Bombyx mori: one gene and its partners. The protein of the gene in region 4 purifies or fractionates together with the protein of the main gene of each other region. This does not show direct contact. Links are inferred from orthologs where the notes say so. Each region holds a gene or a part of one and is shown on either strand. Other genes may lie near its edges. The genes, in order: SAGA-associated factor 29, transcriptional adaptor 3, ZZ-type zinc finger-containing protein 3, cysteine-rich protein 2-binding protein, histone acetyltransferase KAT2A, molybdopterin synthase catalytic subunit and protein Dr1.

The links.
Region 1: the proteins of cysteine-rich protein 2-binding protein (region 4) and SAGA-associated factor 29 purify together in Drosophila melanogaster (affinity purification with mass spectrometry; 5 studies listed by BioGRID). This does not show direct contact. The link is inferred for Bombyx mori from reciprocal best matches to the Drosophila melanogaster genes Atac2 and Sgf29.
Region 2: the proteins of cysteine-rich protein 2-binding protein (region 4) and transcriptional adaptor 3 purify together in Drosophila melanogaster (affinity purification with mass spectrometry; 4 studies listed by BioGRID). This does not show direct contact. The link is inferred for Bombyx mori from reciprocal best matches to the Drosophila melanogaster genes Atac2 and Ada3.
Region 3: the proteins of cysteine-rich protein 2-binding protein (region 4) and ZZ-type zinc finger-containing protein 3 purify together in Drosophila melanogaster (affinity purification with mass spectrometry; 4 studies listed by BioGRID). This does not show direct contact. The link is inferred for Bombyx mori from reciprocal best matches to the Drosophila melanogaster genes Atac2 and Atac1.
Region 5: the proteins of cysteine-rich protein 2-binding protein (region 4) and histone acetyltransferase KAT2A purify together in Drosophila melanogaster (affinity purification with mass spectrometry; 4 studies listed by BioGRID, with this or other methods). This does not show direct contact. The link is inferred for Bombyx mori from reciprocal best matches to the Drosophila melanogaster genes Atac2 and Gcn5.
Region 6: the proteins of cysteine-rich protein 2-binding protein (region 4) and molybdopterin synthase catalytic subunit purify together in Drosophila melanogaster (affinity purification with mass spectrometry; 4 studies listed by BioGRID, with this or other methods). This does not show direct contact. The link is inferred for Bombyx mori from reciprocal best matches to the Drosophila melanogaster genes Atac2 and Mocs2B.
Region 7: the proteins of cysteine-rich protein 2-binding protein (region 4) and protein Dr1 purify together in Drosophila melanogaster (affinity purification with mass spectrometry; 4 studies listed by BioGRID). This does not show direct contact. The link is inferred for Bombyx mori from reciprocal best matches to the Drosophila melanogaster genes Atac2 and NC2beta.

The regions. Positions count from the first base shown.
Region 1 is NC_085125.1:4,979,498-4,983,449, forward strand, and holds the end of SAGA-associated factor 29, read left to right. Parts: intron 1-64; exon of another isoform or gene 65-247; intron 248-543; exon of another isoform or gene 544-765; intron 766-1,032; coding exon 1,033-1,136; intron 1,137-1,573; coding exon 1,574-1,666; 3' UTR 1,667-3,211; downstream 3,212-3,952. UniProt on the Drosophila melanogaster protein: Component of both the SAGA and CHAT histone acetyltransferase complexes, which both predominantly acetylate histone H3.
Region 2 is NC_085109.1:9,155,612-9,160,144, forward strand, and holds transcriptional adaptor 3, read right to left. Parts: upstream 2,737-4,533; 5' UTR 2,504-2,736; coding exon 1,121-2,503; 3' UTR 1,041-1,120; downstream 1-1,040.
Region 3 is NC_085121.1:4,879,705-4,883,428, forward strand, and holds ZZ-type zinc finger-containing protein 3, read left to right. Parts: upstream 1-1,823; coding exon 1,824-2,804; 3' UTR 2,805-2,825; downstream 2,826-3,724.
Region 4 is NC_085111.1:1,081,357-1,085,721, reverse strand, and holds part of cysteine-rich protein 2-binding protein, read left to right. Parts: intron 1-1,120; coding exon 1,121-1,494; intron 1,495-2,518; coding exon 2,519-2,606; intron 2,607-3,552; coding exon 3,553-3,743; intron 3,744-4,298; coding exon 4,299-4,365.
Region 5 is NC_085120.1:4,779,997-4,784,361, reverse strand, and holds part of histone acetyltransferase KAT2A, read left to right. Parts: coding exon 1-80; intron 81-2,035; coding exon 2,036-2,168; intron 2,169-2,727; coding exon 2,728-2,800; intron 2,801-2,872; coding exon 2,873-2,948; intron 2,949-3,525; coding exon 3,526-3,670; intron 3,671-3,874; coding exon 3,875-4,035; intron 4,036-4,365.
Region 6 is NC_085131.1:1,996,793-2,001,905, reverse strand, and holds the start of molybdopterin synthase catalytic subunit, read left to right. Parts: upstream 1-2,045; 5' UTR 2,046-2,314; intron 2,315-2,385; exon of another isoform or gene 2,386-2,792; intron 2,793-3,039; 5' UTR 3,040-3,355; coding exon 3,356-3,484; intron 3,485-5,113. Other genes in the region: putative leucine-rich repeat-containing protein DDB_G0290503, read right to left, coding at 1-211. UniProt on the Drosophila melanogaster protein: Catalytic subunit of the molybdopterin synthase complex, a complex that catalyzes the conversion of precursor Z into molybdopterin.
Region 7 is NC_085110.1:7,486,531-7,491,480, forward strand, and holds the start of protein Dr1, read left to right. Parts: upstream 1-1,639; 5' UTR 1,640-2,574; coding exon 2,575-2,815; intron 2,816-2,922; coding exon 2,923-3,086; intron 3,087-4,544; coding exon 4,545-4,694; 3' UTR 4,695-4,709; exon of another isoform or gene 4,710-4,775; intron 4,776-4,950. UniProt on the Drosophila melanogaster protein: Bifunctional basic transcription factor. Activates transcription of DPE (Downstream Promoter Element) containing promoters while repressing transcription of promoters which contain TATA elements.

The DNA of each region.
Region 1 (3,952 bases), on a different chromosome or scaffold from region 4:
CGTTACGTTTTTGTGTAATATATATTTTTAAGTTTTCGCGACCAGTGCACATAATAAAACAACGTTTAAACGGTTTCAAGCGTGGTATTTTTATTACAATGTTTCGGCCACATTTCAGTAGCCGTGAGCACGGAAGGCAAAGATGTCCAGTGTCAATAAGCGGAGTTCTTAGCTGGCTTATAAAAGTCATCTCTTGTTTCTCTGGCGACAATCGAGATCCATTCTGCACACGTGATTGCTAGGAAAGCTAAAATAAAAATGGAAAGCTAAGTATCTAATGAGAGTCCAACAAACAGACACAAAAGCAGCATTAACCAATTTTAACCAACTAATTTTGAAGTGCTGCTAACAATTTTTAAAAAATTATTACAACACAAATCTACTCCATGCATTTACTGTTCTGTTAAGCAAAAGTTTGTCCATGTGTTGGCCGAGCCTTGGCCAACATTTGTAGCGGTGGTTAAAAATCGGTAATTTTGTTCAAAATTTAATATTATTTATAAGTTTAAAGCTTACAATATAGTTTATACTTCATGTACTTACCGAAAGTAAGATACTCCGGCCGTTAAATTGCTTTTTCGGGCCTTATTTTTGCAACTTTTGAATACACACTGCGGTATTGTGAGACGGGTTGACATTGGCTGTGTTTGAAGTGAACTAAACAAAATAAGAGCTCACATTTCAAGTGCGCTGTTATTTGACGAGACGGATTTTATGCACCGACCCGAAATCTAGTTACTATTGTTGATCGAAGATTATTCCTATCAAAATAAATTGTTATTTATTTGTGTAAATATAAAGAACTAGCTGTTCCCGGTCCGCTTCGCTGGGCATTTAAAATTAACATTATTATTTCTCACCCACACAAAGATTTTCATCATTAACGCCCCCGCAACTGGTGTAGGGAGTCCAACACTCATATAAATATTAGCCTATCCATTAAGTACATGTATTTTCTACATGGATAACAAGTTTCAAGTCGTCAAAACCACTGTACATTTATATATTAGTATAGATAAAATGATTTCAAAGGTGCGGTGGTGATGGCGCTATACCCGCAGACCACGTGCTTCTATCGCGCCGTAGTCAACCGGCTGCCCGCGAGCGCTGCTGACCCCTATGAAGTGTTGTTCGAGGTAAAAATTTATAATATTATTACAATTCTATATACTAACTAACTAGTTGACCCGGCAAAAGTTCTTTTGCCATATAATTTTTCTAGGAAAAATAAATAAAGTAGATACCGACTGCAGCGCCATCTGCCAGGCTGATTTGCGAATTTAAACCATCCAAGGCGTGAACCAAACGCATACAAAAAAATTCATTCAAATCGGTCCAGCCGTTTAGGAGTTCAGTGACATACACACGTACAGTAGAATTACATATATGTATATGAAAATGTATAATAATATTTTAAAAGTAATGCAAAAATATTATAACTACATACTTTGTACCAGATTTTATTATAAAATATATTTTTTAACTATGGCAAGACCGCTAAACTATATTCCTATAAGGCCTTGTTTCAAATTAGCTCCAGTATAACAAAAAAAAAAAAACCTTTTGCCTGCAGGATTCGTCGTACGCGGACGGCTACTCGCCCCCGGAGCGCGTGGCGCAGCGCTACGTCATCGCCATCAAGGAGGGCAAGGGCCGTGCCACCTGATGCCGCCCGCACCGCCCGCCCGCCGCCGCGTCCTCCTCCGCTTCCGCTACCGCTACCTAGTCACCTCGGCCGACACCCACGCGTAATGCGTACTGTTGTTCTACATTACACAAGCTGAATCGAAGACAAATTTTCTTTCGCATATTAAAATGATGATCATAATACATAGCTGAATTTGAAATTTAAAGGCTTTACACAAGAATTCTCGAATATTGTTTCAAGAAACATTAATCTCTACGAATTACATGAAGCGACAGGCTAAACTCGCCTTTCAATGCTTCCAAACGGTTGATACTTTATACTGTCTGTGACCAGTTGAAGGATGCTATAAGCACGCCGCTTGTGTGTGATTCAGCCTTTATAAAGTGTAGTTTTTCGTTAGAATTTTGTCGAGTGTGTCAGAGAATTTGTTGGATGTACATTTTGATTTTAATGTGGTGATCGGTTAGTAATCGTTGTGGTGCGATGTGATTTGCGGATTTAGTGGACCGGACCAGTGTGTATAGACGATGACAAAAATAATTTTGTGAAAGGTTTAGTGCTTGTTCACAATAGACGCCAACGAGAGATAGTAAGAGAGACCTAAGTGTTGCATGTTTAATTTTAAAAAATTTAAATGGTACATGAATAATATTTAGATTGTAGACATATAGTCCTTAGATACGCCATATGGCAGATTTATAGAACAAAAACTTGCTGTATATAAATCATAAGATTTATTAAAATGAAATAAGTTATTGTGTTAACTGTAACTGTGTATTCAGTTAATGCAGCTAATTTAAGAATGACGAAAAATGCACGAATTTAAGTATTACCTATTCTAATTTTATCCACTTAGGACACTAAGAACAGTTCGCGTCTGTTCGAAATGTCAATACGGATGAGATGTCCAGGGGCCTCCGTGACTTCGTAGTGTTAGTCCTACAAGCCCAGATTTCGATCTCATTGACGTTGTTGTATGTAGATAGTTTTTCACATAATTCATAAAATTACACTTACAAAATTAATATTACATTACAGATGTAAAACCAAACACGTTAGTTATTTAATCATAAATATTATTATATCCATTATTTAAAATAAAACAACGTTTACGAATTAAATCTTCGCATCCGTTACGCTTTTTTATGAATCACTAAAGTAAATTACTAGATTTAAAGTTGTTGACCCTTTCGCTATGACAGGCCTCGCTGCAGTGTTCCGTAGGATGAGTATACGGCGCACCTGAAGAGTAATTACCATCGCCCGTGGGCATCAGCAATGCCAGGGGCAGAGCCAAGCCGCTGCCTACCGTTTTAGATAAGTTTTATAAAAAATTTAATTGACAGCTGCTAAAGAGACAAAAATTCTCCATAACCTTCATCTAGCGTTATGTATCTAGTTTAAGTGTTTATTATGGTAATAATATGTTGATTACCTATTTTGAAGGAATTAGATTTAGTCACCCTGTAAACTGTAGTGGTCAACACAGACAAATATTTTTATCAAAACTTAGTAGTAGCAGTAGTCTCTAGTAGTCATAATAAAATAAACATTTTAAGATTACATATCTTTTAATTCCTTAGGTTATGTAAAATCTACAGAATACATGATACAATGTTTATGTCCGAAATATACAATTAAATTTTGATTTGTTGTTAAAACGAATTGATTTTTATAAGTTCTTTGATCACTTACAAACTAAAGAGTAATATTAATGGAAGAAAATAAAATATACCTCGCTTTTTAAACAATAATAAAAAATGGTAAAGGAACTTCTTTGACATAAGTGTTTATATTTTCTTATAATGTGTATGCTTTAATGTTTTGTGAGTAAAATAAAGTTAGTCATAATGAAAAATAAAAATGTCTACAAACGTAGGACATATAATGGCAACCATACTTATAAATAAATATTTAAAAAAAACTAGTTTCATCACATGCCCACATACATCAATTCATACTGACACAGCCTATGGAAATTCAACTTAAATCTTACGTAAGAAATGAGCAACTTTTCCACTATGGCATATCGATACTATACATTCAACATAAATAAGAAATGAGATCAAAATGCTATGTTTTGCCAGCCTGGAATCTCGAGTACAATGCCAATGTATTATATTGTTATACATATAAAGCCAGTATTGATTTATAATTAAACATCTGATTATTGTGACTTCTGTTAATACATACAAGTGATATATCGCCAAAAACAGATTTTCCATTGATAGTCACCACGGCTAGAGAGCTAAAAGCAAATATTTGGTACTAAATGAAAATGACTAAAAACATAAATTCATTATA
Region 2 (4,533 bases), on a different chromosome or scaffold from region 4:
AGAAGTTGAGAGAAAGCGGCCGGAATTAATCAAGAGAAGAGGTGTAATTTTTCATCATGATAATGCTAGACCTCACACATCTTTAGCCAATCAGCAAAAATTAAGAGCCTGGCTGTGAGGTGTTAATGCATCCGCCGTATAGTCCTGACCTTGCAGCTTCAGATTTCCACCTGCTTTGGTCTCTTTAGAATTTTTTAGGCAGTGTCAGGTTAACATCACAAGAGCACTACCAAAATCAATTGTCGCAGTATATTGATCAGAACCTCCAAAAAACCTACAAGATAGCAAAAAGTTATTGAACAAAATGGTATTAGTTAAATATAAATAAACTATATTAAAAATGTCGTGAATTTTCTTAAAAAATGTTAAGAAACTTTTCCCCAACCTTATATGAGTCGACTATTATCAAAGCCGGCAATGTGACTTTTGGACAATTATTGGTAAATCAGAAAAACGAATTATTGACTTTGTATTCCATTGGCAGTCACAAAACTCTTCTTAACTACATCTTAGATAAATAACAGGTTAAGTATTAACCTTTATTTAATGCAGGTTTTGAACCGTATTCTTTGAAGGAGACGATTATATTCAAATCAATCTGTATTGACATACCAATAACATTTTTTTGTCCAAATGCACAGATTGCCACCTTTGATAATAGACGACTCGTATATAACAAAATAAAATGAGGTAATACAAAATCTGCAGTAAATAAAAAATTTGCATTAGCATTCATTAGTTCTGTTCTGTGCAGATTCACAAGACATCTTACCACCAGAGTAATTGTGCAAATTATAAACTTGCAGGTTTGATTTTTTTTACATGATGAGAAGTCCCTACACGGTGGAAGTCTATTGTGAACATTTGTTAAATACATATTTCATTAGAATAATTGGTACCCACCTGCGGGATTCAAACATTGTTGCATCACTAGATAAAAATGCACTAAACATCTTATCCTTTAAAAAGTCAAGGCCATAATCCAAGGCCAAGGTCAAATTTGCCAAATAAGTAGTTAGTAGTCACAGTAATAAAACAAGTATTTTTCCATATTTAATTCAACAGATACTCCTAGAATAATTACCACATGTTATTTTTGTATCATGCCGAACACTAATATCTAATTTGAATTTGGACCCGTTTGTGGCAAAGCATTGATTTCTTTGTTTAGCCTTATTTGTTCATTTATTGCTTTCCAAGCATCTTCTTTTTCCTTCTTAGTAACAGGGCGCTTCTTTTGTTTAGCCGCTACCATCTTTTTATAAATATCAATACATTCTAGATCCACTTGATCCAGTTGCTTTTTCAGATTCAGTCTAATCATTTCTTGTTTACACAAACCAATTAAATTTTTAAGATTTCGACAATTCTCTTTACGTACAGCTGTTAATTCTGTTTGACATTTTTTAATCTCTGCTAGTATTTCATCATCAGCTGGATTAGTGAGAGGTGGTAAATCCTCTGGATCAAGTATTCCTTGTTCAACCAATTCCTTCCTCAAACACTTTTCTAATGTTAATGAATTCTTGTAGCCACTTTTAGTGGTGGAGACCATTTTTACTTTAATATCAGGTATTTCATAAGACATCACATTCTCTTCCATAAGAGCAGAGACTAATCTTTGTGTCAAAGGTCCAGTTATCATGCTTTCTGATGACTTTTCTAGCTTCTTACGAGCATGAGATGCATCTGGAGACATAGATGATTTTTGCTTATTAGGATTAGATGCATTTTGATCTTCAGCAAGATGTTCATCTGCCCAAACTTCTGAGTAATGCTTTCCTAATGGAGGGATCGGAGGTAGTGTGGTGTTACTGCTTTGAGCTAATAAGGACTCTAAAAATTTTATATCATCCAATGTTACAGGAGCACAATAAGGCTCTACTGAATTCCAAAATTTATATGGGATATTATTTTTAGGCAGTGCTAATTGTGAAAGTTCAAGTTTTACAGAGTTGTCTGAATTCACTAAATCATTAGAGTAGGTATGAGATCCTGAGGAAGCGTTTGAGAAATTTTTAAATTTAGGCACTTTTGGCTGATTGGATAATTTTGTGTAGTCTTTAGTTTTAACCACTTTGTCATCTTGAAATTTTCTTTTTACAGGATACTGTAGCTGTTTACCGGCTGCTTTGCCTTTTTTTTCTCTTTTAGATTCATTCGAATCTATGCTTTCTATTTCAGATTGAAAATATCTGCATCGTAGGGCAGTATTACATAGCAATGACTCTAATTCCAACTGTAACCCATCCAGCTCATCCATCCCAATAGGTTCATCAGCAGATCTCGCTGCAACCGCAGTAAATCGTGGCAAAAGCACTGCATTATCTTGTATTTTAATGTATGGAATTGGGCATGTCTCAACTTTGATTTTGGCAGTAGAAACAGAACCTGGAATCTTTGTTGGTTTAGTGTATGGTGTAATTCCAGGGCTTGATGGCTTTCCATTGTCTTTGTTAGCTAGTCTGCCTTTGCTATTATGATGCATCCTCTTACCCAGCATCTCGATTCAATATAATTTACCCGCCAAAATAAATAACACAAGCCCAATATTCTACGCTAATCTACATTATTTATTGCACTGAAATCTTGGAATCACTTTAAAATGTTAGACTTTAAAGTACTTAACGTTAATATCACGTCTATGACTCAACTTGTGTTGATTTTTTAAGACAAAAGCGTAATTCTTAAAGTTTCTCTAGTACAGCAAAACAAATGCCGAAATCACAGAACAAAATGGCGTTCAGAAAATAAAACTTATTTTTTATTTGATACCGTTTTTAACACAGAAGCTTTACCTTTTTTTTAAGGGATTTTATGACCTGGTAACTAAGACCTTTAAGTCATTTCTGATTTTAAATTATATTCATATTTTTATGAAAAATGATATTATGGAGTGAAATGAAATGAATATGATTAATTTGAGACATTAATCAACTGGGATGAAATTAAATGAAATGAGATGAGATGATATGGGATGAAATATAATCTCAGTAAAATGGTGGTCATTTACTAAGATTTTTTCAGTGGACTTTGTGGAGGATCCCGAGAAGTTACGTCCAGCGGCTTTGTTTCTTTTTCCCACATTTGTGCACTTTCACAGATATTAAACAGTTAATAAACCACCGTTATTACACATTTAAACCTGAAGAAACACTAAATAGACAAAATAAAACAAATCACACAACTTCATTCCTCGCGTTCCCGCCAAAAAGTCAGAAGTTTTACCTACTTTTTTTTTAAGTGATTTTACGACCTGGTAACTAAGACCTTTAAGTCATGTCTTATTTTAATTTATATTCATATTTTTATGAAAAATGATAATATGGGGTGAAATGAAATGAAAATGATTAATTTGAGACATTAATCAACTGGGATGAAATTAAATGAAATGAGATGAGATGATATGGGATGAAATATAATCTCAGTAAAATGGTGGTCATTTACTAAGATTTTTTCAGTGGACTTTGTGGAGGATCCCGAGAAGTTACGTCCAGCGGCTTTGTTTCTTTTTCCCACATTTGTGCACTTTCACAGATATTAAACAGTTAATAAACCACCGTTATTACACATTTAAACCTGAAGAAACACTAAATAGACAAAATAAAACAAATCACACAACTTCACTCCTCGCGTTCCCGCCAAAAAGTCCAGTTTTACCTACATAAAGTCAATGTTGCCACTTGTCATTTGTCAGTCAACAGATTGTCAGATTAGTACCTATATACCTACCTAATTCAAAGAGAAAAATGAAGGAATACCATATCACCGAAAAAAGTGTACGTTAAAAGAGAACCAATTAAGGTAGCGCCATAGTAGCTAGTCGAAAAAATTTAAGAACCGCCTTAAACTACCACACTGCAAATATTTATTTATTTATAACTTCTTATACTAGAAAGTATAAAGGCGGATTTAATGCCATAGACATTCTCTACCAGTCTACCTTAGGGGAGTGCAGAGATGAAGCTTGGTAGGTGTAGCGTGAAGGTGATATTACTTAAACATGTGTATATATAACATACATAATATTTATAGATACAAATACTCATACTTAAATAAATACATAGACGTAAATATATAGATATACATAAATATATACATATACATATCATAAATATATACATATAAAAACATATATAAACAAACATTATCAATTAGATGACGAATGATCGGCGGCGACGATGAAAGCATACGGAGTGTAAGTGTAACTCGCTGACACACGGAGATAACCTGGGCTCGCCAACTCAGACTGGAGTCAATAAGTAGGCCTAGGTCCTTTACAACTGAACACCAGTTGATGGTTGAGCCATCATATATAACCGATGGGACATATGCCATATCCAACCGATATAACAAGCGTTGACTTCCAACAATAATAGCCTGACATTTGGCGAGATACACGCTTATGCCGAAACCGTCAGACCAGGATTTAATGTAGGACAGATCGTTATTTATTTTTCCAACTGCCGAAGACACACTATCGACTCCAGCCTCAGCATAAAGCTGCAAATCATCGGCATATAGATGGTACGC
Region 3 (3,724 bases), on a different chromosome or scaffold from region 4:
GAGATTTTAGAACTTATATCTCGAGGTGGGTGGCGCATTTACGTTGTAGATGTCTATGGGCTCCAGTAACCACTTAACACCAGGTGGGCTGTGAGCTCGTCCATCCATCTAAGCAATAAAAAAAATAAAAAAATAACTATGTCCAATTTCACACACACCAATTGATTGTACAAATATTTATATAAATGATTAGAAGGTGAAGAGTAACAAACGAAAGGATAAGACGTCCGGTGCATTCGTGTTGAGCAATGCACCGATGTTCGAATCCCAGGCGGGTACCAATTTTTCTAATGAACTGCTCAACAAATGTTAACGATTGACTTTCACGGTGAAGGAATAACATCGTGTAACAAAAATCAACGGTAGAACGACGTCTAGTACATCCGTACGTAATCCGACGTCCGTACCGGTAGGTACCATCAACCCGCCTATTTCTGCCGTGAAGCACTAATGCGTTTCGGTTTGAAGGGTGGGCAGCCGTTGTACTGAATTGAGACCTTAGAACTCATGTCTCAAGGTGGTTGGTGGCATTTACGTTGTAGATGTCTATTGGCTCCGGTACCACTTAGCATCAGGTGGGCCGTGAGCTCGTCCACCCATCTAAAAAATAAAAAATAAATAAAAAAACAAACCCGCAAAATTATAATTTGCGTAATTACTGGTGGACGCTTTGTGAGTTCGCACGGGTAGGGTAGGTACCACCACCCTGCCTATTTCTGCCGTGAAACAGTAATGCGTTTCGATTTGAAGGGTGGGGCAGCCGTTCTACTGTAAAAACGGAGACCTTAGAAATCTGTCTCCACTTACCTTAGTGGTGGCATTTACGTTGTAGATGTCTGTGGCCTCCGGCAACCACTCAACATCAGGTAGGCCGTGTGCTCGGTCACCTACCAATGTAATAAAATAAAAAACGCCTTCATATATTATATGCTAGGTTGTTGTTTTTTTTTATTGCTCGTTATCCTGTTTTTATTTTACAAAAATAATGGTCACTATATTTATGCTAATATAGCGCCACTGCCAATAAAAACACATAGACATGATGATTTATAAAAAAATTGAGATATTTTGATCAGCTTTCACACAGTCTTAATAAAACACTATAAATGGCACGAAATTACCATTGTTTATTAACAACAAATAGCATTGAATGTTAGTCATCTGTTTGACTTTTACTGAAACTTGTGGGAAGCACGAGCATTGCCATCTGTGTTAAAATTTTAGAAACAAACTACTGGTTTTGTTGTGTGCATAAACACCTAGATGGCGCTTTGTTTTACTTGTTATTCTTGCGTTTCACTTGATCATAAAAAAATATAAATTTATCGTGTACACTCATTTTCCTTAAATAGGAACAATTGTTGGAAATAAATTCTTAGTTCGATGTAAAAATCTCATTGGTTTAGAATCTCACTTTCATTTTTTTCAGATATAGATTCTTTGACGTTTATGTGTTTAATCTATGAAACTGTCAGTAACATATTAAGTGTATAATCTATGTCAGTAACCAAGTAGCCTTTCGAAGAAGTTCTGCGTACATAAAGAATGTAATGTTTATTTATTTTAACGTCTACTTTATAGCAAACTGTTAAAGCCCTAGTGAATAGGTTGGTATTAAATATTTTTTACCTGTTATAAATAAAAGAAATAGACTGAACTCACCGGTCCGACCAGCCTTCAACTGAAGAGCTTCTGAATTCATGCTTACATTTTTTGTTATGAACACTGTTTATTTTATTTTTTATTTTTACACTCAAGTTTTTAGGATTTTTCGCTATTTTCATTCCGAAACTATTATTCATATTTTTATCAATTTAAAGGTCATGGACAGCTGTGATGAATATGAAAATGAAAGTGAGAAGTCAGAAGATGAATTTGCATTTGAATCAGACCATTTAGCCTTAAGAGGAAACAAAGACTACTGCAAGTTACTCAAATACATAGTTAAATTAGAAGCACAAAAGACACAAGCTCTAAAAGACATAGAAACTTTAGCTGAATCTCAGAATAAAGCCTTGGATGACCCTTTGACGTTTATTGATGATCTCAGATCCGGAAACATTCAATTTCCTGCTCATCAAACTATCTCTGATTTGCCCAATATAAACTGGAATGAGTATGGAATAGATGTTACAGACACAATAGGTGCTAGTGAGTCAAAACAATGTAAGGAAGAATTAGATTCTAGTTTCAAAGTTAGAGGGCGGAAGTTCACAGACAATAAACCAGAGACGTTCAATCAGTTATGGTCATGTGAAGAGCAAAAAAGATTAGAGGAATTGTTAGAAATTTATCCTGAAGAGCCTATTGAAGCGAGAAGGTATAAAAAAATAGCACAAGCCCTTGGCACAAGGACCCCAATACAAGTTATGAGCAGGATTCAAAAGTATTTCGCTAAGTTAGCGAAAGCAGGTCTGCCCATTCCAGGCAGAGCACCCAAAGGTGTTGGACGAGATAAAAACAAGTCTATATTTTATAAGAAATCTACATTTTTTCCTCAATTGCATGTTCCTGTAAATATGGAGGACTCTTGTGACAGTGGGGAAGGACACGACAATATGTCCTCTTTAGAAACTAAAAATGATGGTAAATACATGTTGGAACTATTGAAATTAGCTAAAGAACAGAGAGTTTTAGATGAAACCACACCAGTTTATCAAACTAAGACCATGTGTGTTGGTTGTCAAAAAATGGGTTTTTTAGGAGCAAGGTGGACAGACAATTCGGGTACTGACTATTGCACAGACTGCGTGGTGAGATTATTACCTGCTGAAAGACTTATTCCAGTGAGACATTTAACTTGATGCAATAAAATGCTCAGCTTATTTTTGTTTTTTTCAAATTGTCACCAACAAAGATAGTTTTTAAGTATCTTGAAAAACATAGAAGTAAATTTTAATCAACTTCTAAGTATCTTATCGATTTGAAACATTTCAAATCACTGTAATGTGGATCACAATACTAAAATATGGTCACAATATGTTGTGCTAATCTGATTTTTTTTTATGAAACTCATTGAGATTTGAAATTTTTCAATTAATTTTAATAATTACTCTTCGGCTTTTATTTATTGCAACATTACTGCACTTCAACCATTATTTAGTTTTTAAAACTAGATACCCGAAAGAGCTTAAAAGACGCAAATTTAGTAACACCACACATTCTGAATTTTTACTATTTTCAAGAATTTAAACGAATATTTAAAAACAACTGGATACGTATTTCAATAACTTAGGCTATACTGTCAATTACCGACTGGTTCTGGTGATAACGCAATACTGGGGCGTCCGCGGCGAGTGATGAACATCCACTGGACTGGAACACTGAGCACGCCTCGCACCCGCTTCTATCTACCCTCTATACACACTACATTATCTACTGCTTGGCGGGAGTTTTGTGTTCTACACATAAATAATTAACACAATATATCACACCCTCATTCAACACGCCCTATGATTTGACCTACAACTTCATTCTTATTCTTAGAGATCAGCAAAGTGCACCTCATTTTGATTGATGTGTTAATAAAACGTGCAGAACTTCACCAACTAAAATTATTTTAACATCGCGTGCTTCTTTTTAATTTTGGATTAAGCTCACGGTAGCCTAGTGTTATTGCAGTCCAAAAATAGTGAGATACATATTGAAGTGATATCCGCCGCACCCTGGTTAGGTGAAACAAGTCCCTAAAGTATTGCAAAACTTGTACGATTCCAAAACAATC
Region 4 (4,365 bases):
AAAGAATTATCAGAATCAGTTTAAGCATTCTCTAGAAATCGGTGAACATACATAGTTAAAAAACTATGGTCGAATTGATAACTTCCTCTTTTGAAATCGGTTAAAAAGCGTGATTTTAGTACCTTTAATAACAACTTAACATTCTATTATTCAAAAATATTTTCACCTTCTACGTTAATGAAGAGGTGGGTAAAATTTAGCGTTATGGCAAAGTAACTATTCCACGCGGACGATGTCGCGGGCAAAAGCTAGTAGTATACATATATAGTGGTTTGTACTGTACCAAACTGCACATATCTGCTGCGATATAAACCTTCAAGATTAAATGGATAGGAGACTGATAGGGGAGAAGACAAAGTGGGGAGCGGCCACCACGTTGTGATGTCCTCGGACTCTGCCCCCGGTGGACCGTGAACTCGTTTAACCATAACTATCTACATATTAAAATGAATGCGTATCTTCAATATGTTCTTGATTCATCTGATGATCATGAAACTTGGTTGTTGACATTCCAGGAAGGTTCGCATCGTGGTACCATCAGCGCAAGACGGGTGGCGCGCAATTAGTTCAACAAACCTGTTTAATTCATACATTTAGCGACAGTTATGGCTGGACCTAGCCCCATTTGAGCCACACTGATATCTATACTTAATATTATAAAGAGAAAATATTTGTTTGTTTGTGTTGAATAGGCTCCGAAACTAATGAACCGATTTGAAAAATTCTTTCACTGTTTGGAAGCTACACCATTCCCGAGAGACATAGGCTATAAATCTTTTTTGAAAAAATTAGGGATCCTTACTTAAACTCCGATAATGTAACCCAAGGTGTAAAAAAATTACCTAAAATATTCTTTACATCGCGTGCCCTTCGAAAACTATTGATGATAGAATAAAATAATGTACTACGAATTTGTAGAACACATTATTATTCAAAAGTGTTGCGACAGCATATGTCTAACTATTATAGCTATGCCGCAATAAGTGTTCTTTTATTTAAAAAAATAAAACAATGTCAAATATCGTTGAAATTTTTGTTAAAGACCCGAGCGGAGAAGGAGCGGGCCGCTCGTTGTTAATAAAAAATTTAGAATATATCATAATTATTTTTCGTCTTCTAGAGTGACACCTCAAGCGTAACCTCCTTCCAGCATACGCTCTTCTTCTACGACTCTGACTCCCGAAGCGGCTCAGAACAAGAAAAGAAACTGGAAACAAAACCAAAAAAGACAGAAGAGAAACCAGTAAGAAGAGAATCTCTTTTCTCTACCGAACTCAATTCAGAGGATCTGCCGTGGACGACGACTCCTCGCGCGGAGACGAACGTGGTGGAAATGACTCAATACGAAGAAGTACAGCTCTTGAAGCAGATCGAAGGGCTGGTGACTAAAGTAAAGGACTCTGCAAGACGAGCCTCTCTTCACAGGCTGAAGGCAAAACTGACTCTGCGCAGGCTGAAGAGACACAAGCATTTACCTATATTCACTTTTGACAAGTCAGTATGTCTTTTTGGTTAGACATATGGCATGATTGTAATTTTAATTTAACTAGTGGTCCCACGGTAGTTGAAATTCGACTGTAATTAATTGAAATTATAAGTTTGTACACTATTATGACTCTATTGTCAAACAATTATTATACTTCTATAATCACAGATTTCGCCAAGACTACACTTTAGGTAAATGTTAATAAAGACAAACAATATTTAATCTATTCTCAATTTGACCATAGACGTCAAGAACAAAAGTTTGACAATAAATAGTATGCATGCGTGTGTGTGTCAAACACATGGTAGTGTGTGTAATGTTTTTTTATTGATTTAATGTATTTTTTAGGCATAAATTAAAAAAATATTAACATTCTACACTCCTTCTCTATATTCTCTATAAGTGTGGGAAATTTCATACTCCTCCGTCCGCGCAATTTTCGAAAAAAGGGATACAAAGTTTTTCCTTCACGTATTAATATATAGATTACCAATACTACGGTATAATAATAGGCATGACTAAAGGCAGGTCGGGTTGATTCCGCTTGACTGTCTCCGCGAAGTGATCACCGGCTTCGTTTTGAGGATCTAGATAACAATAATACAATAAATAAATATTAATTGGAAAACAATTCCCATGCGGTTGTCTGAGCCCGAGCTGATTGATATCGTGGGGGTAAGGAACGACTGGGCATGGTTTCTCTTGAATTTCTTTTTCGGATTTACATCACGTAACTATTTCTTGTTTACACAATAATATGTAACATAGCGACCCGCCCTCGCTTCGCTTCGGAAACATTAAAACACACATGAAACCAAAAAAAAATAATTAAAAAAAGTAGCCTATGTTCATCAGGGACAATGTCGGCTTCTAATGGAAAAAGAATTTTTCAAATCGGTCCAGTAGTTTCGGAGCCTATTCGAAACAAACAAACAAACAAATCTTTCCTCTTTATAATATTATATTATATGTAACATATTGCTGTCCTTGTCATGCTAAGCTAAGAGTTGTCTTTTTTTTTATATCATTCAGGACGGTAAAGTTGCTGAGCGGTCACGCCGCTGAGGATCCGCGGCAGGTCAACAACGTCGAGAGAGTGCTGGACAGGTTCCAGAGATCGGTGAGACACGAAAACAATCAATATACAGGGTGTCCCAGAAAGAATGGATAATCCTGAAACGCCTCATAGTAGAACTATTGGGAACTCAAAAATAATAATAAAAAAAATTATTTCTTAGGTAGTACCCAAATTAAAAATAAAGAAAAAATAAAAAAAATCCTGATTTTTAAGTTCAGATTAACTTTTATAAAAAATTACACTAGCTACTCACTCATACGATTTCCTGCATATTCCTTAGTGTAGTCCATGTAGAATATTATAACACCAAAAAGCCTATGGATTTCATTTATTTGTAGCTGTTGTATATTCCAGAAACGCACAGCAGTATGGAAAGTATCAACTTTTTTTTTAAATACGTAATTTGGGCAATTATGGTACACAGCGGCTTGGCTCTGCCCCTGGCATTGCTGAAGTCCATGGGCGACGGTAACCACTCACCATAACGTGAGCCGTATGCTCGTCTGCCTACAAGGGCAATAAAAAAAAACCTGAAAACTTTTTTTTTGTGTTTCCAATAGCTCTACTATGAGGTGTTTCAGGATTATTCATTTTTTTATTTTATTTTTTATTTTTTTATTGCTTAGATGGGTGGACGAGCTCACAGCCCACCTGGTGTTAAGTGGTTACTGGAGCCCATAGACATCTACAACGTAAATGCGCCACCCACCTTGAGATATAAGTTCTAAGGTCTCAAGTTTAGTTACAAGGGCTGCCCCGCCCTTCAAACCGAAACGCATTACTGCTTCACGGCAGAAATAGGCAGGGTGGTGGTACCTACCCGTGCGGACTCACAACAGGTCCTACCACCAGTAAGAATACCTTTTTGGGGCACCCTGTATATATTTTTTTAGGAAATTCTCTGTTGTATGTAGTAGTCATAGCTAAAGTTGAAACCGGCGGACGATTGCTTCTAAATGATCTATTAAAAATTTTACTCTTTGTTTAGTTCCTTATGGATAACCTCTGCGGTACTATAGCAAGTACAACCCACGGAACCCTCCTGCTGTCGCGCATGGAAGCCCTGCCCTTCAGGTCTCCGTACTCCGGAGTCACCCTCAAGCCTTACATAAGACGGGACACCGAAACCTGCACCACCTGGATGAAGCTAATGGACGAGCTGCTGAGGAAAACTCACAGGTGATTGATTAGTTTCAATCTTAGACCTAATTGTTTCGAAATCAAATTAATTGGGATTTAAATTTTGATTTTTATATCTAATAGAGCAGTCGCCATATTGTAAATACTTAATAATATCTTATTGTCTTATTATTGAAAATTTTCAGCAGTAGTTTTAAATGAAATAGAGACGTCAACGTCCTACGACGAGGTGACCGATAATGTCCACTTACCATCTCATGAGCCGTGTTTCCGATCACTATTGTTAGTCTTTGAGTTTAGAGAGCATGAGAAATAATTTTATATAAAGAAAACGTTCAGTCACAAGTCAAATCTTGTGTTGACTTGGTGAGTCACTTCCATGTATGTGATGTAGGGATATGACAAAGGCAGGATCTTCCACGGCCCGAATCTCATTGTTCGAAACTTGTACACATATATTGCAAACGTCTCTTGAAAACGACATTTTGTATTTTATGTTGGCTACCGCCACATGTGACGCAAGCAGCTAATGGTAAAGCTAAGTTACTCAACCCTACCGAAGTTGTAACGTTATTAAAGTTAATTTATTTCCAGGCACATAAAAGACTACGAGCCACCCGCACGCATGTCCATTGACTACTCCTACGTCCGTCCGCAGCAC
Region 5 (4,365 bases), on a different chromosome or scaffold from region 4:
GCAGCGATGACGTCAGCCAGCGCACGGTGGCCGACATCGTGGCGACTATCTCCGACCCCAACTACATGTGCGGACCGGACGTACGTGCGCGCTCGCTCCCGACGAACGAACAGCTTTATTTGCTTATTATCTATATAATAATGCGTGAAGCAAAAACTTTGTACCACTTTTGCGCGGACGAAGAATTATGAAATTTACCACACTTATAGAGAATATAGAGAAGGAGTGCAGAATGTTAATATTTTTTTATATCATCATCATCATCATCATCAGCCTTTGCTGGACATAGGCCTTCCCCAATGCCTTCCACAGAATGCGGTCCTCCGCCTTCCGCATCCAACTATAAAAAATAATAAAAATAAAATATAAAAAAATAAATTAAATTTAACTGTTTTTTAATTTTTAAACAAACTACTACTAATTGAATAAGAACTGTCTGATGAATTCATCTTTGTTTAATACTTCACTATTAAATTTTATTGCCTTTTGTTTATTTCACTTTTACACTAAACGCAATATTGCAAACTACCCGAGTACAAAAATGGCGGAGAATTTTAGGTGCGTGAGAGCAGACGTAGACACTAACGCGCATGCGCCAGGGAGGAAGAGTTAGACTTTCTTCCCTGTACACTGGAAGGAAAACCGAACTTTCGGCGTAGGTAGGAGAAAATAAATGTATTAGACACACAGACACACATGCATACTATTTGTTTATTGTCATACCTTTCTTATTGCTTATAATCTGTGGTCAAATTGAGCACAGATTAAACATTGTTTGTCTTTATTAGTACCTATTTGTCTGAAGTTGGGGAAATCTGTGATTATAGAAAGTAATAGTGTTTCACAATAGAATCATAGTGCACAAACTTTTAATTTCAATTAATTATAGTCGCATTTCGACTACCAGGGGACCGCTAGTAATAATAATAATACCTTTATTTCCCGAAAATTCTACAGTTTACGCTAACAATTTTAAGTAGATTAAAAAAAATTACAATTTGATATATGAAAACAAAATATAAAAATAAAATCTACAGTTCTGCTACAAAATGTAACTCGTTCCGGTGTGCCTTTCGACAAAGGCCTCCTCCAACTATTTCCGCTACTTTCTATCTATTTATTACACTCGACTAAATTGTTACGGACTTTTTGACGGGAACGCGAGGAGTGAAGTTGTGTGATTTGTTTTGTCTATTTAGTGTTTCTTCAGGTTTAAATATGTAATAACGGTGGTTTATTAACTGTTTGGTATCTGTGAAAGTGCACAAATGTAAGTAAATTAAACAAAGCCGCTGAACGTAGCTCCTCGGGGTCCTCCAAAAAGTCCTCTGAAAAAGTCTCAAGTAAATGACCACGATTTTATTGAGATTATATTTCATCCCATATCATCTCATCTCCATTTCATTTCATGCCATGTTTCATATTAATCAACTTCATTTCATTTCATATCATTTTTCATATAAAAAAGTTTACATTAAAATTAAAATAAGACTACGTAAAGGTCTTAGTTACCAGGTCATAAAATCCCTTAAAAAAAACTAAATTATTGCCGTAAACTCTACCATACAGGGTAGAGTACTAATAGTAAACTTTATATTTAGTCATATTTAAATATTGGAATGGCAACCCTGTGTGATTTTTCAAACCGTTAACTCGTTCACGGCTTGTGCTCGCATTACAGTTGAAGTTTAAAAAAACCTTGACGTCGCTACATTTTATTATCCTAGATAGGCTAACAAACTCTCAGTCTAGGGGTATTTCTTCACGACCCATAAACCAAGCAAAGTGAGCCCTTGTAGGCAGACGAGCATACGGCCCACCTGATGGTGAGTGGTTACAGTCGCCCATGGACTTCAGCAATGCCAGGGGCAGAGCCAGGCCGCTGCCTACCAGTGTTAGTTGTATGCACGATCGCTGTCTCGTCCTAACTGGATCTTCTGATTATACCGCACTAGAAAAAGGCCGAATGAAAATACTGATACGGATATAATTTAACATTATACAAAACAAACCAAATGATCGATTAATTCCTCAGGCATTATTCCAAACGCAAGCACCGCGCGACGAGGCGGCCAAAATCGAAGAACAAAGAAAATTAATAGAGTTCCATGTGATCGGCAACTCTCTGACTGGGCCCGTCAACAAACAGACAATGCTATGGTTGATCGGTGAGTATGTAGAAATTATCTAAATATAATTAAAATTAATAAACGTTAATTTATATTATTATAGTCTCGGTCGGATTGTAAACATGGTTATAGATTTTTTTTTAGCCGACTTCAAAAAGAAGGAGGTTCTCAATTCGACTCTATGTTTTTTTTATGTTTGTTGCCTCATAACTTTTGTCTGAGTGAATCGATTTTGATGATTCTTTTTTTTAATTTAAAAGCTGACGCTTCCCGTGTGGTCCCATTTTATTCCCAATTTAGTCCAGTTCTGATAACGGTATCCATAAGAAAACCATATAAGTCTTAAATTTGCATTAAGTACGTGCGCGACAAATAGATGAATAACTCAATAACTCAATATCACGCCAACCGATTTCGATGATGATTGTTCTTAGTTTATATTACATAGTTTGTTTTGGAATATCTTTTTTTTTCCTATTTGAAGTTGGTTTTTGTTAAAGCATTTCTATTTATAATTATTTTAATAACAACTTAACTGTACTGATTGTAATATTATCAGTAAATATACATATAATGAAGTGTACGGCGTTGCTTCCAGGTCTCCACAACGTTTTCTCCCACCAACTACCGGAAATGACTAAAGAATACATATCGCAATTAGTGTTCGATCCGTGAGTATTAATTCAAAGGATAATGACTTTTATGAAGCCATACATAAAGCTTAAATTTGAATATACTTACAGGAAACACAAGACATTGGCTCTGATCAAAGAAGGCAGGCCGATTGGTGGCATCTGCTTCAGGACATTCCATTCGCAAGTATGTAAAGGGATATATAGTTGTGTTAGCGAATTTTAAAATTAAAGTTTTAAGTCGTCGTGTCCTAAAGGATAAGACGTCCGGTGCATTCGTATGTAGCGATGCACCGGTGTTCGAATCCCGCAGGCGGGTACCAATTTTTCTAATGAAATACGTACTCAACAAATGTTCACGATTGACTTTCACGGTGAAGGAATAACATCGTGTAATAAAAATCAAACCCGCAAAATTATAATTTGCGTAATTACTGGTGGTAGGACCTCTTGTGAGTCCGCGCGGGTGGCTCACACGGGGGACGAGCTCACAGCCCACCTGGTGTTAAGTGGTTACTGGAGCCCATAGACATCTACAACGTAAATGCGCCACCCACCTTGAGATATAAGTTCTAAGGTTACAACGGCTGCCCTGCTTCACGGCAGAAATAGGTAGGGCGGTGATACCTACCCGTGCGGACACAAGAGGTCCTAACACTAGTAATAAATAAGGTTTATAGGCACATAACACCTTCATTCGATGTAAAATATCAAAAATCGTACTTAACCCCTTCTTCCACTCACGTCTTCAAAATTGTTGACAGGGCTTCAGCGAGATAGTATTCTGTGCGGTCACGTCCAACGAACAAGTGAAAGGATACGGCACTCACCTCATGAACCACCTCAAGGATTACCACATCCGAAACAATATACTGCACTTCCTTACCTTCGCTGATGAATTTGCAATAGGTGAGCGCGATTAGTTTCTCAAGGTAACGTAGCTCCTTTTTTAACCGACTTCAAAAGAGGAGGTGGTTCTCAATTCGACTGTTTTTTTTATGTGTTACCTCATAACTTTTGATTGTCAAGCCTCAGAAGGCTACGTCTGACACTCACAGAATACAGTCACTAAAGATCCTCTGATCTCCGAGCCTGGTCTGTTTAATTCCACAGGCTACTTCAAGAAGCAGGGTTTCAGTAAAGACATTAAGCTGCCGAGGGCGATGTACCAAGGATACATAAAGGACTACGAGGGAGCAACCCTCATGCACTGCGAATTGAACCCTAGAATAGTATACACACAGTTCACTTCGGTTATTAGGATGCAGAAAGAGGTACGTCGTTACTGATATTTGAAATTATTAATGTTGTTGTGGTGGGTAGCCATCATACAACGCAATTGATGCCTGAATGTCGCTTACGACATTTTCAAGATAAGCTCGCATATATACAAGTTCCGAACAACACTATATACGGACCGTCGGTCTACCGAGCAATATCACCCGCTCGGTGAAGGGTCTTCCCATTGTCGTTAAACATCCAAAATTGTACTAGGGAGGCCTTGTTCGTTTAAGTAGCGAAAAATGATAATACACTGCATTGCACGTAATGTATTACAAACAAAAAACAGCTGGTAAATGGACTCTGTTGTGACGGTGCCCCGC
Region 6 (5,113 bases), on a different chromosome or scaffold from region 4:
TTCTATTGCTAGTATAGTTAGTAAAGCTCCTCGACATAGGTGATGCGGCTGGGGTTATAGAATACCTCAATTTCATGTTGAGTTCTGACACATCCAACTCCTCATATCCTTTCTCTGTACATGGTAACACATTATTGTGATATGTATTCTCTTTATTATCAAAATCACTCTCTAAGCTGTCTATATCCATCGGTTCATCGCGATTTGCCATTTTTTATATATCACTAAACACACAACGGTTGATTGTAGCGTTTTTAAGACTCTGCTCTGCTCGACACGTCACGATCTGAAGACACAAGTAAATATTCAATCCAACACTAACATCAAATATTTTTCAAATAATTTCACTGATTTCTATTTCGTAAAATAAACGGTTCGGTAAGTATGTCATTAGAAAACAAAAATGTCCGAGCACTGAACTGAAACTCGCATTCGTATTCTATTTTTATCCTTTTTGTGTTGTACGTTGTACGTAGTCCATTTTATATAAGAAGCGCACCCAGAGGGAATCTTGCCAAAAAATAACGATCAGTATACATAGAAGCAGCACACAAACATACCGGATTGAAAACCGTTTGAATTCGGTAACTTTTTCAATTTGAACTGTCAATTGTCAGATTATGGTAGTGCAGTTAGTATCGATAGTGACGTAAAATTAAATCGAGTTGCGAAGGTGTTTAAGCATTATCTATGGTCAAGTGGAAGAAAAAGAATGTCAAACGGCAGGAGACATGATCACCGAAAGAATTCAAATCTAAACTCATAGGATTAACCTTAATGTATAATAAGAGAGTGTCAACCTATAGAGCCATCGCTACAACATTTCGACACTGTCATTTTAAAATACGAAATGTCGTATTTCCGCTACTTGTTAAAAAATAAACATATTATCGTTTATGCGTAAACTTTTGTTGCTGTTTTTCAAAATTTCACTTCTAGGAATATTTTCTTTGAGAGTTAAAAAGTAGGGGTTGAAAGTGTAATTTCTCTCATTTGAAAGAGAACTGTCAATATTGAAGCTTTTACATAAAGCTTAGTAAAAATAATACACGTGATGTAATTACAATATATTACCTATGGCCATTACTGTAAACAATAATGTACTTTCTTTTACTTGTATTATGATGTACTTTCAGCAATAATTAGTTTATACATTATATGATTATATTTATTCATTATTACATAATTCACAATATCATTATTCATCCCGTGCAAAGACGGATCACTACTATTGAACATATGATGATTATTAATTGGATTATAAGATATTTTATAAATAGGCCTGAGACATGAAAATACAACATAAACATGATTTAATATGATGGAGAGATAGTAGTTAATAACAGACATATTTATAATTTAAGTTTAAATTTTAAGTATTTTATCAACAACTCTCGCTTGGAAAGAGGGTTTTTTTGAACCCCTAAAAAGAGATCCTAAAAGAATATCTATATTTTTAAAATACTATAAATGTAAAATTGAGTTTTGTTATTGACTCTTAATTTTCATGTTAAATTTTCGCATGCACCTTATCACGGGTAATTTTTCTTAGTACAATGGGAGCGAAGTAGATATGCTATAAAAATTTAATTACAAGGTGTGGTCCTGTCTTCTAAAGCGATCTCTTTCATTCAACCGTTGTATGGATAAGATTCAAGAAAGAAAAGTGTAAATCTACTATGACTAGAACACAAGAATGAAATTGGATATGCCATTGTAATATTTTTCCAATTAGGTATTTCTGCAACTAATATACTAAACTAATATGGTCTTTTCAACTATCTAGGTCCTAGATTCTAGGAGATGGAAATGGAGCAAAATCACTGGACTTGGCTGGTTGGCCTATTACGAAAACTGATATCATTCAAACTTTAAACTATTACCTTTTTTATACCTTAAAAAAGGTAATAGTATGGCTTGGTAATGACACCTTTACGCTTCTCGTGCAAAAGAATTTACTTTAATTTAATTCACGAAGCCCGCTATAGAAAGCAGAGTATTATATACACTTGACATTGGCGAAATCTAAAAGGAAACGCCATAAACCTAAGAGATAGATAGATAAAAGAATTTACTTTTTGAAACAAAGCCTATGAAATACTATTCCTTTGCCTGTTTTTTGGGATCAAACAAAAAGTTATTAATTCATAAACTATAACAGCTGTCTCTTGTTTTGCTTTTGAGTTTTAAAATTTGAATTTTAACTTAATTATAACACCTAATAGTTAGTAAGAATTTTAAAGAAGTGAAATTTCTAATCTAAGTTTGAGGAAAAAAAACCCTTACATTACTACCATTTAAGACAGAAGATACAGTAAGTATATTTAAAATTACTTTAATAAATAAAATGTTACGATTTTCAAGGTTACGGTATAACCTCCTAGTTATAAAAATCACACAGTTTAAATTAAATGATCGCTGTAATGACATTTGTACCAACGACGTACTTGAAAATATCTAATAATATTATACTGTGTAAAGTATAGGTATCTATTGTATGAAAGTAGGTGTATGTAATTAGATCGTGAAATTCCGACACGGTCCAATGATCAGCAACATGTTTAAAGCAGTCGCCCATAAAATAAAAACTATATCCACGACATTCATGTAGGTAAGTCGAGTGAATCAGTCAGTAAGTAAATGAAACGCCGCGGTGATGCAGTCAGTAGATATATAATTTTTTAAAATACTTTTGATGTACATGGAAAGTGTATAACGGAAATTAAAAACCTTTTTATTATCCTACAACAAGTACAACATATTTAGTCTTTTATGGATCAATTCGAAATAAAGTAAGAATTTAATTTTTTAAATATTTTTCTTTAGATTTTGCAGCACCATTTTGTACTTTCTAGTTTTTTTTTTCAATTCAAATTACATGTATGTATTTTAATCATTATTGTTTACTATTTACACAGATTTAGAAGCAGTATTGACAGTAGCTATATTGATTATTTTGTTGTAATGTTTTTTATTTATTTTTACTTAAGCAACTTTTTTTTACAAACAGGTTTATAATAACACATCTTTTTATTGCAGGCTGGTAGATTGACTATGGTAAATTATGGAAATAGAAAATATAGAAGATACTGTAACAGTGAAGCTATTGTTTTTTGCTAAATCAAAAGAATTGTCGGGAGTTAGAGAAACTTCCATAACTTTACCAAGAAAGTTGGGATATCAGAGATTGTTGAATATTATATGCGATAAATATAACTTAAACAGTATTAAGAAAAATATACTTTTGGCTAAGAACGAGGTAGTGTGTGAGGATACAGTAGATATAGAAATTAATGAACAAGACAACTTAGCTGTTATACCACCATTGAGTGGAGGTTAAATAGTATTTCACAGGATGGACCATATAAAATTAACAGTAGATAGACTGTCAGTCGAAGAAATAAGTGAACTTGTAACTGATGATAGCTGCGGTGCAATTTCATTGTTTATTGGCACAACTAGAGACAATTTTGAAGGAAAAAAGGTAAACTTGTATTATTTAAAATTTTCTAGTCATTAGGAAAATAGGTATTTTGTTAAGATTCTGTATGTGAAGCCCGTTGTTCAAAACGGTAATGGCTTTTAACCATTTTAGTGTTAAGTGATATTTCATGTCACTATAGGCAGCAAATTCTTCGTGATCTACAGGATATGGCACCCGGTGCATTCACATCAAGCGACGCAATTTTCTTAATGAAATAGGTTAACAAATGTTCACAAATTATTTCTATAATAAAGGAATAACATTACTTGTTATAAAAATTGAACCCGCAATAATTATAATTTTTGTGTAATTATTGGTGATAGGGCATCATATCTGAGCCCACGCGGGTAAGTACCACCATCCTGCCTATATTTTCCGCGAAGCCGTAATGAGTTTCCGTTTAAAGGGTGGGGAAATTGTTGCAATGAAAAAACTGAGGCTTAGACAAAAAGAGTTTGAAGAGCAACCTAGCCCAAATACATAACCAACTTAATTTCTCGCTGGATTGGATTTCTCTTACTAGGACTATTGTTAGCAAATTCTCTCAGGATGAACCCCATGAGCTTACCAACCCGTCCGTGCGTAGCTGAAGATATAAATAAAGAAAATATGGCCATAACTCTTTGTCTATTTGCATCTTCTAAATTTACAATTTCCAACACAGATATAGTTGTTTACGTTCCATAGATAAGAAATGATTTATTTTATATTATAGTTTGACCTCTTTGAACACTTTTTGTAAACAACAACCAAGTCAGATAAATGTGGTGAAGTAAAAAATATTCATGTAAATGCAGTAAATAACAAGAGATTGTTTAGTCATACCGATGTTAGCAATGATTATATTTCAAAAATTTAAACTCATTTTTATACCTTTGTTTTCAAGTTAAGTCTGTTCATACGGTATGCTGCGGGCCACTTTGAACTAGAAGGTTGTTTCTTCCTAGTTTCGAGATAAAAAAAATATATTTTCGTAACGAGCTCACGGCCCACCTGTTGTTCAGTGGTTACTGGAGTCCATATACATACATCTACATCTCAATTGTTTAGTAATTACGCACGTTACTATTATATCGGATTTTTATTACACGATGTGGAAGTCATTCGTGAACGTGTACTAAGTACGTATTTCATTAGAAATAAACCTTATCGTGACCGCCTAAAATTACATATCCGACCCAGGCCACGAGGCAAATCAAAGGTACCGTCGTCTAAAGAACATCCGACGACATTTATTGAAGTCGTCGTGGCCTAAAGGATAAGACGTCCGGTGCATTCGTATATAGCGATTGCACCGGTGTTCGAACCCCGCAGGCGGGTACCAATTTTTCTAATGAAATACGTACTCAACAAATGTTCACGATTGACTTCCACGGTGAAGGAATAACATCGTGTAATAAAAACGTAACGTGTACAATAAAAGTTTTAACATGTGGTAGGACCTCTTGAGAGTCCGCGCGGGTAGGTACCACCACCCTGCTTATTTCTGCCGTGAAGCAGTAATGCGTTTCGGTTTGAAGGGTGGGGTAGTCGTTGGAACTATACAGAGACCTTAGAACTGATATCTCAAGGTGGGTGGCGCATTTACGTTGTAGATGTCTATGGGCTCCAGTAATCACTTAACAGCAG
Region 7 (4,950 bases), on a different chromosome or scaffold from region 4:
ATCTTCCATTTTTTGTAGTTTAATAGTAGAATGTTGAAAGTTTACAAAACAACTCTGAACATGCATGATAATAGCTGCTAACTTATAAAAAATCGCGTTTCAAATTAACTTCCTGTGGTGGTAATTATTTTAGTGCTAGAAACTTTGCTCTCTTTTATTCATTTGATAATAATAGAAGACGACTGTGATTTATAAACGTTATTTAGTGTTTGAACCATCATATATATTAAAGGTAACTCTCAGTTGTTATTGGTTTTAATGTATTTGATAAAATAAAAATACATGTAAAAATCTGTTGTTTTTGGGGATATTGGGGACGTCTTAGGTACAAATTACAACGAAAAAGAGGTCAATTGGGATGAGAATAAACGAAATGGAAACGACCTAAGTACAAATAGGTACAGGTTTGTAGGGTTGTCTATGTAGTTATAACAATATTATTTAAATTTGTTGGTAAAAATCTAGTTTATTCATGATGTTTTTGTCTAGAACTTTTATTCAAAATTATCAATGTGTTATTTTATTGTTTGGTAAATATTTATATTATAAGTTAGGTACGTATTGTTTTCTATTTTTAGATATGCCTCGCGTGTACGTATCAGAATGCAAAGCCTTATAAAGAGATATGATCCCTTAATATTAAAAACAGCAATAGAAGCCTACGAAATTGGGAATAAGTCTTTAGTTGAAATAGCTAAGCAATTTAATATAAGTAAGTCGATTTTGCACAGACATGTAACAAGAACAATGAAATCTCAAGGTGGACAAAAATGTCTAAGTAATATATCATAACATATATTAATATTTGTCCAGAGTGGGGGTATCCACCTGATTAATCTATGGAATAACGGACACACCTAATCTCTTAACCCAGATAAAAATATCAGGCCCTAAGTACTTACTAAGAATGAAGAAATATAAACCGCTTATAAGAAAGCCCGCTCGTTCGAGTTTAGGCGCTTACTCTCCCTTAAACAGAATCCTTTGGGACTACAATAATGTCCACGGTAGCGCGGTCTCCGTCAATGCTCATTCGTAGTTGTCCGATTGCGCTGAACTAACTTTAAGTGATGAAATAGATGTTTTTCTAATTATTTCACAACTTACAGGAAAAAACTGTCGCGGATACTTTCCCAAGTAAATATAAATTAATCACAAATAATTAAATGTAATCAAGTTTTATATATTATATTTTTTTTATTGTTAATGCACTGTCGATTGCACCTATAATTGAGGTGACATCTGCCATGTACTTTTGTCAGTTTTTCAATGTTTTTTATTGATGATCACTTTGTTGGTGCAACTAAATAAATTAATTAATTAAAACCAAGTAGTGCCAACCCTAGCAAATTTCTCATTTCGTCCCAATTAACCGCAATTTCCGGGTAAATAGGGATTACACCTATTTTTGCTTTTTTTGCTTAAACTGGAATGCTAGTTGCATAGTTTTAAATTGGACAACAAAGATGCCCCCAAGACTCCATCATTTTGATCTTGATATAGCATTATATACATCAACAACTACCTTAAAATTGGTCATAAAGTTGGAATTTGTCCCTAATCGCCCCATTTTACCGGTATATCAAATATATTAAGTGTATAATCTATGCATATTATATTTGAGAGTCAAAGTTGGACTTTTTGGCGGGAACGCGAGGAGTGAAGTTGTGTGATTTGTTTTATTTTGTCTATTTAGTGTTTCTTCAGGTTTAAATGTGTAATAACGGTGGTTTATTAACTGTTTAATATCTGTGAAAGTGCACAAATGTGGGAAAATGAAACAAAGCTGCTGGACGTAACTTCTCGGATTCGTCCAAAAAATCCACTGAAAAAATCTCAGTAAATGACCACCATTTTACTGCGATTATATTTCATCCCATATCATCTCATTTCATTAAATTTCATGCCAGTTGATTAATGTTTCAAATTAATCATCTTCATTTCATTTCACTCCATATTATCATTTTTCATAAAATTAAGAATATAAAGTAAAATAAGACATGACTTAAAGGTCTCAGTTACCAGGTCATAAAATCTCTTAAAAAAAAGAGTAAAAGTGAAGACTTTTTGGCGGGAACGCGAGGAGTGAAGTTGTGTGATTTGTTTTATTTTGTCTATTTAGTGTTTCTTCAGGTTTAAATGTGTAATAATGGTGGTTTATTAACTGTTTAATATCTGTGAAAGTGCACAAATGTGGGAAAATGAAACAAAGCTGCTGGACGTAACTTCTCAGGTTCCTCCAAAAAGTCCACTGAAAAAATCTCAGTAAATGACCACCATTTTACTGCGATTATATTTCATCCCATATCATTTAATTTCATTAAATTTCATCCCAGTTGATTAATGTCTCAAATTAATCATCTTCATTTCATTTCACTCCATATTATCATTTTTCATAAAATTAAGAATATAAAGTAAAATAAGACATGACTTAAAGGTCTTAGTTACCAGGTCATAAAATCTCTTAAAAAAAGAGTCAAAGTGGCCCAAAGCATAGATTATACACTTAATGGCCCAAAGTGGCCCAAAGGCTACCACAAAAAAATAGAAGTGGGCGTTCATAAATTCGTTACCATGGGAAGTCCAGAGCGTGAACTTTGTCCACCACCTTCAGAAGAGGACGAACTGACTCTACCAAGAGCTAGTATAAATAAAATGATAAAAGAGTTAGTGCCTTCTGTTCGTGTAGCGTTCGAGTCAAGGGAGTTAATCCTAAATTGCTGCACTGAATTCATACATTTGATTAGTTCTGAAGCCAATGAAGTATGTAATCAAAGCAATAAGAAAACAATTAATGCAGAACATGTCCTTACAGGTATATATTTCACTATTGTTAAAAGACAATTAATATTATCATAAGGAACACGAACATATTTTTTTTACGAATTTAACTTTAAGCTTCAGTATCAAACTAATTTTCAGCCCTAGACAGATTAGGATTTAGTGACTACACAATAGAAGCAGAAGCTGTCTTAAAAGATTGTAAAGCAGTGGCGGCTAAAAGAAGACGACAAAGCACACGCCTTGAGAATTTAGGCATTCCAGAAGAAGAATTATTGAGACAACAACAAGAACTGTTTGCAAAGGTTTAAACAATTTAAATCAGTATTTTCTTAACCATTATGAAATTCAATAAAAATGTGTCTGTGGTCATGATTTTGAAATGAAAAAAATGAAGTAACAATCTTACCAAACCAATCAGACTAATCCGACATATGTAATAAACCCTATTTATATTATAGAGCAATTATGTTTCAATTCATTTAATGTAAACATTAGATGTGGATTTGTTGATCTTCATACAAACTGGTCAATAATAAATTGGTCTCTAATGTCATTTAAACAACATAAGGATGGGATTGTTATATAGACCATACAAAAAAAAACCAATTTGATTCAATTTAATTCAAAGTAATCACCCCATTTAAATGTCAGCTTAAGCTTCATACTTTAGTCCTTTCTACTCAGGAATGTACAGGAACTTTTAGAGAACACTTATTAACCTAACCCTTTGAGGTGTAACAGCAATCATGCAATACAAGCTGTTAAACAATACAATTGAGGCTTCAATCAAGGTTCATATAGAACAAACTCGAGTAAGCACTTTGTAATAACCTAGATGTTGTATTTCTTAAGCTTTGGGAAAATAAGTAGGAAAAAAGTGTTCATAAAAAAATATGGAATCGAGCAAGCCCCTGTATTTGATATCTTATTTTGTTAGATATGTTAACAGGAGACAGAGTATGATAAAACCACATTTTCATAATTACTTATGGTCAATATGAGAACCAATTGTAGATATTATTTTAATATAATTATATCTCATGGCAAATAGTTTGTGTATATACTGGTTTAACTTTTATGACTGGTTTAACTTAGTCCATGTGGTTTTCTTAATTTTTAATCATTAAATCAAATTTCTCTCCGAGAAATGACCTCTTATCCTTTTATATATCGACGCTTGAAAGGCAAATGTGACTAAGCGACAATGCGTGAACTTTACAGTAGACTAATTTAAAGTTGAAATACCTGACAACAAAATTTATTTTAATGAGTCTAGCTGTAGTAGAATCTAGCTAGTAGCTGTAGGATTGAAATTATTTTAATAGACCTAGAAATATATATTTTTTGCAAGTCGAATATGGTTATTGCCTATCATTTATGTACAAAGCAGTTATTGTCGCTTAGTCATGTTTGCCTTTCAAGCATCAATATGTTTTAAATTATATATAAAAAAAAATATTTTTTCTTATAAATCCTCCATTAAAATATACGTCATTATCTTATTGCCATCTAGTGGCCGACGCTCGTAAACAGAATGTGTGAGAAACGACCTAGCTCACTATCTCCCTCTCAAAGGTCTAGTGGTTTGCGAGACGATCTGTCTATTTTCTCATTCTCGCTCCTCTTAAATTGTATCTTTTCTCTCAAGCTGTAACGAAGTAACTGCCTAACTATCGTGAGTTAAATATTACTCTCAATGCGCCTAAAAAAATTCACTTTTAAAAAATACCCAATTTATAATTAAACTTTATTTAACACAGGCCCGTGAGGAACAAGCAAAACAAGAACAGCAACAGTGGCTTTTACTACAACAACAAGGACTTGTTGGTGTTGAAGGAAATGCACAACCATATGTACCACCTACAACTGCTCCAAGAACTGATGATGATGAAGATGATGATTACTCATAAGAAACATTTAATTAGGTTATTGTTTAATATTATGACAGTTTTGTTTCTGGCTGTGTTATAATATAAATGTTGTTTGTGTCATGTATTTAATTTAAATTTACTTAATGTGAACAAAATTTCACACTAAATTTTAAATTACTTCTATAGATCCTATGTCGCTCTCAAACTAAAGATGAATCTAAAACTTGATAGTATGTAACCTAAAAACCATAATATAATGAGGCGTATTTGAAGAGAGTGCATAGTGAAATTCCAA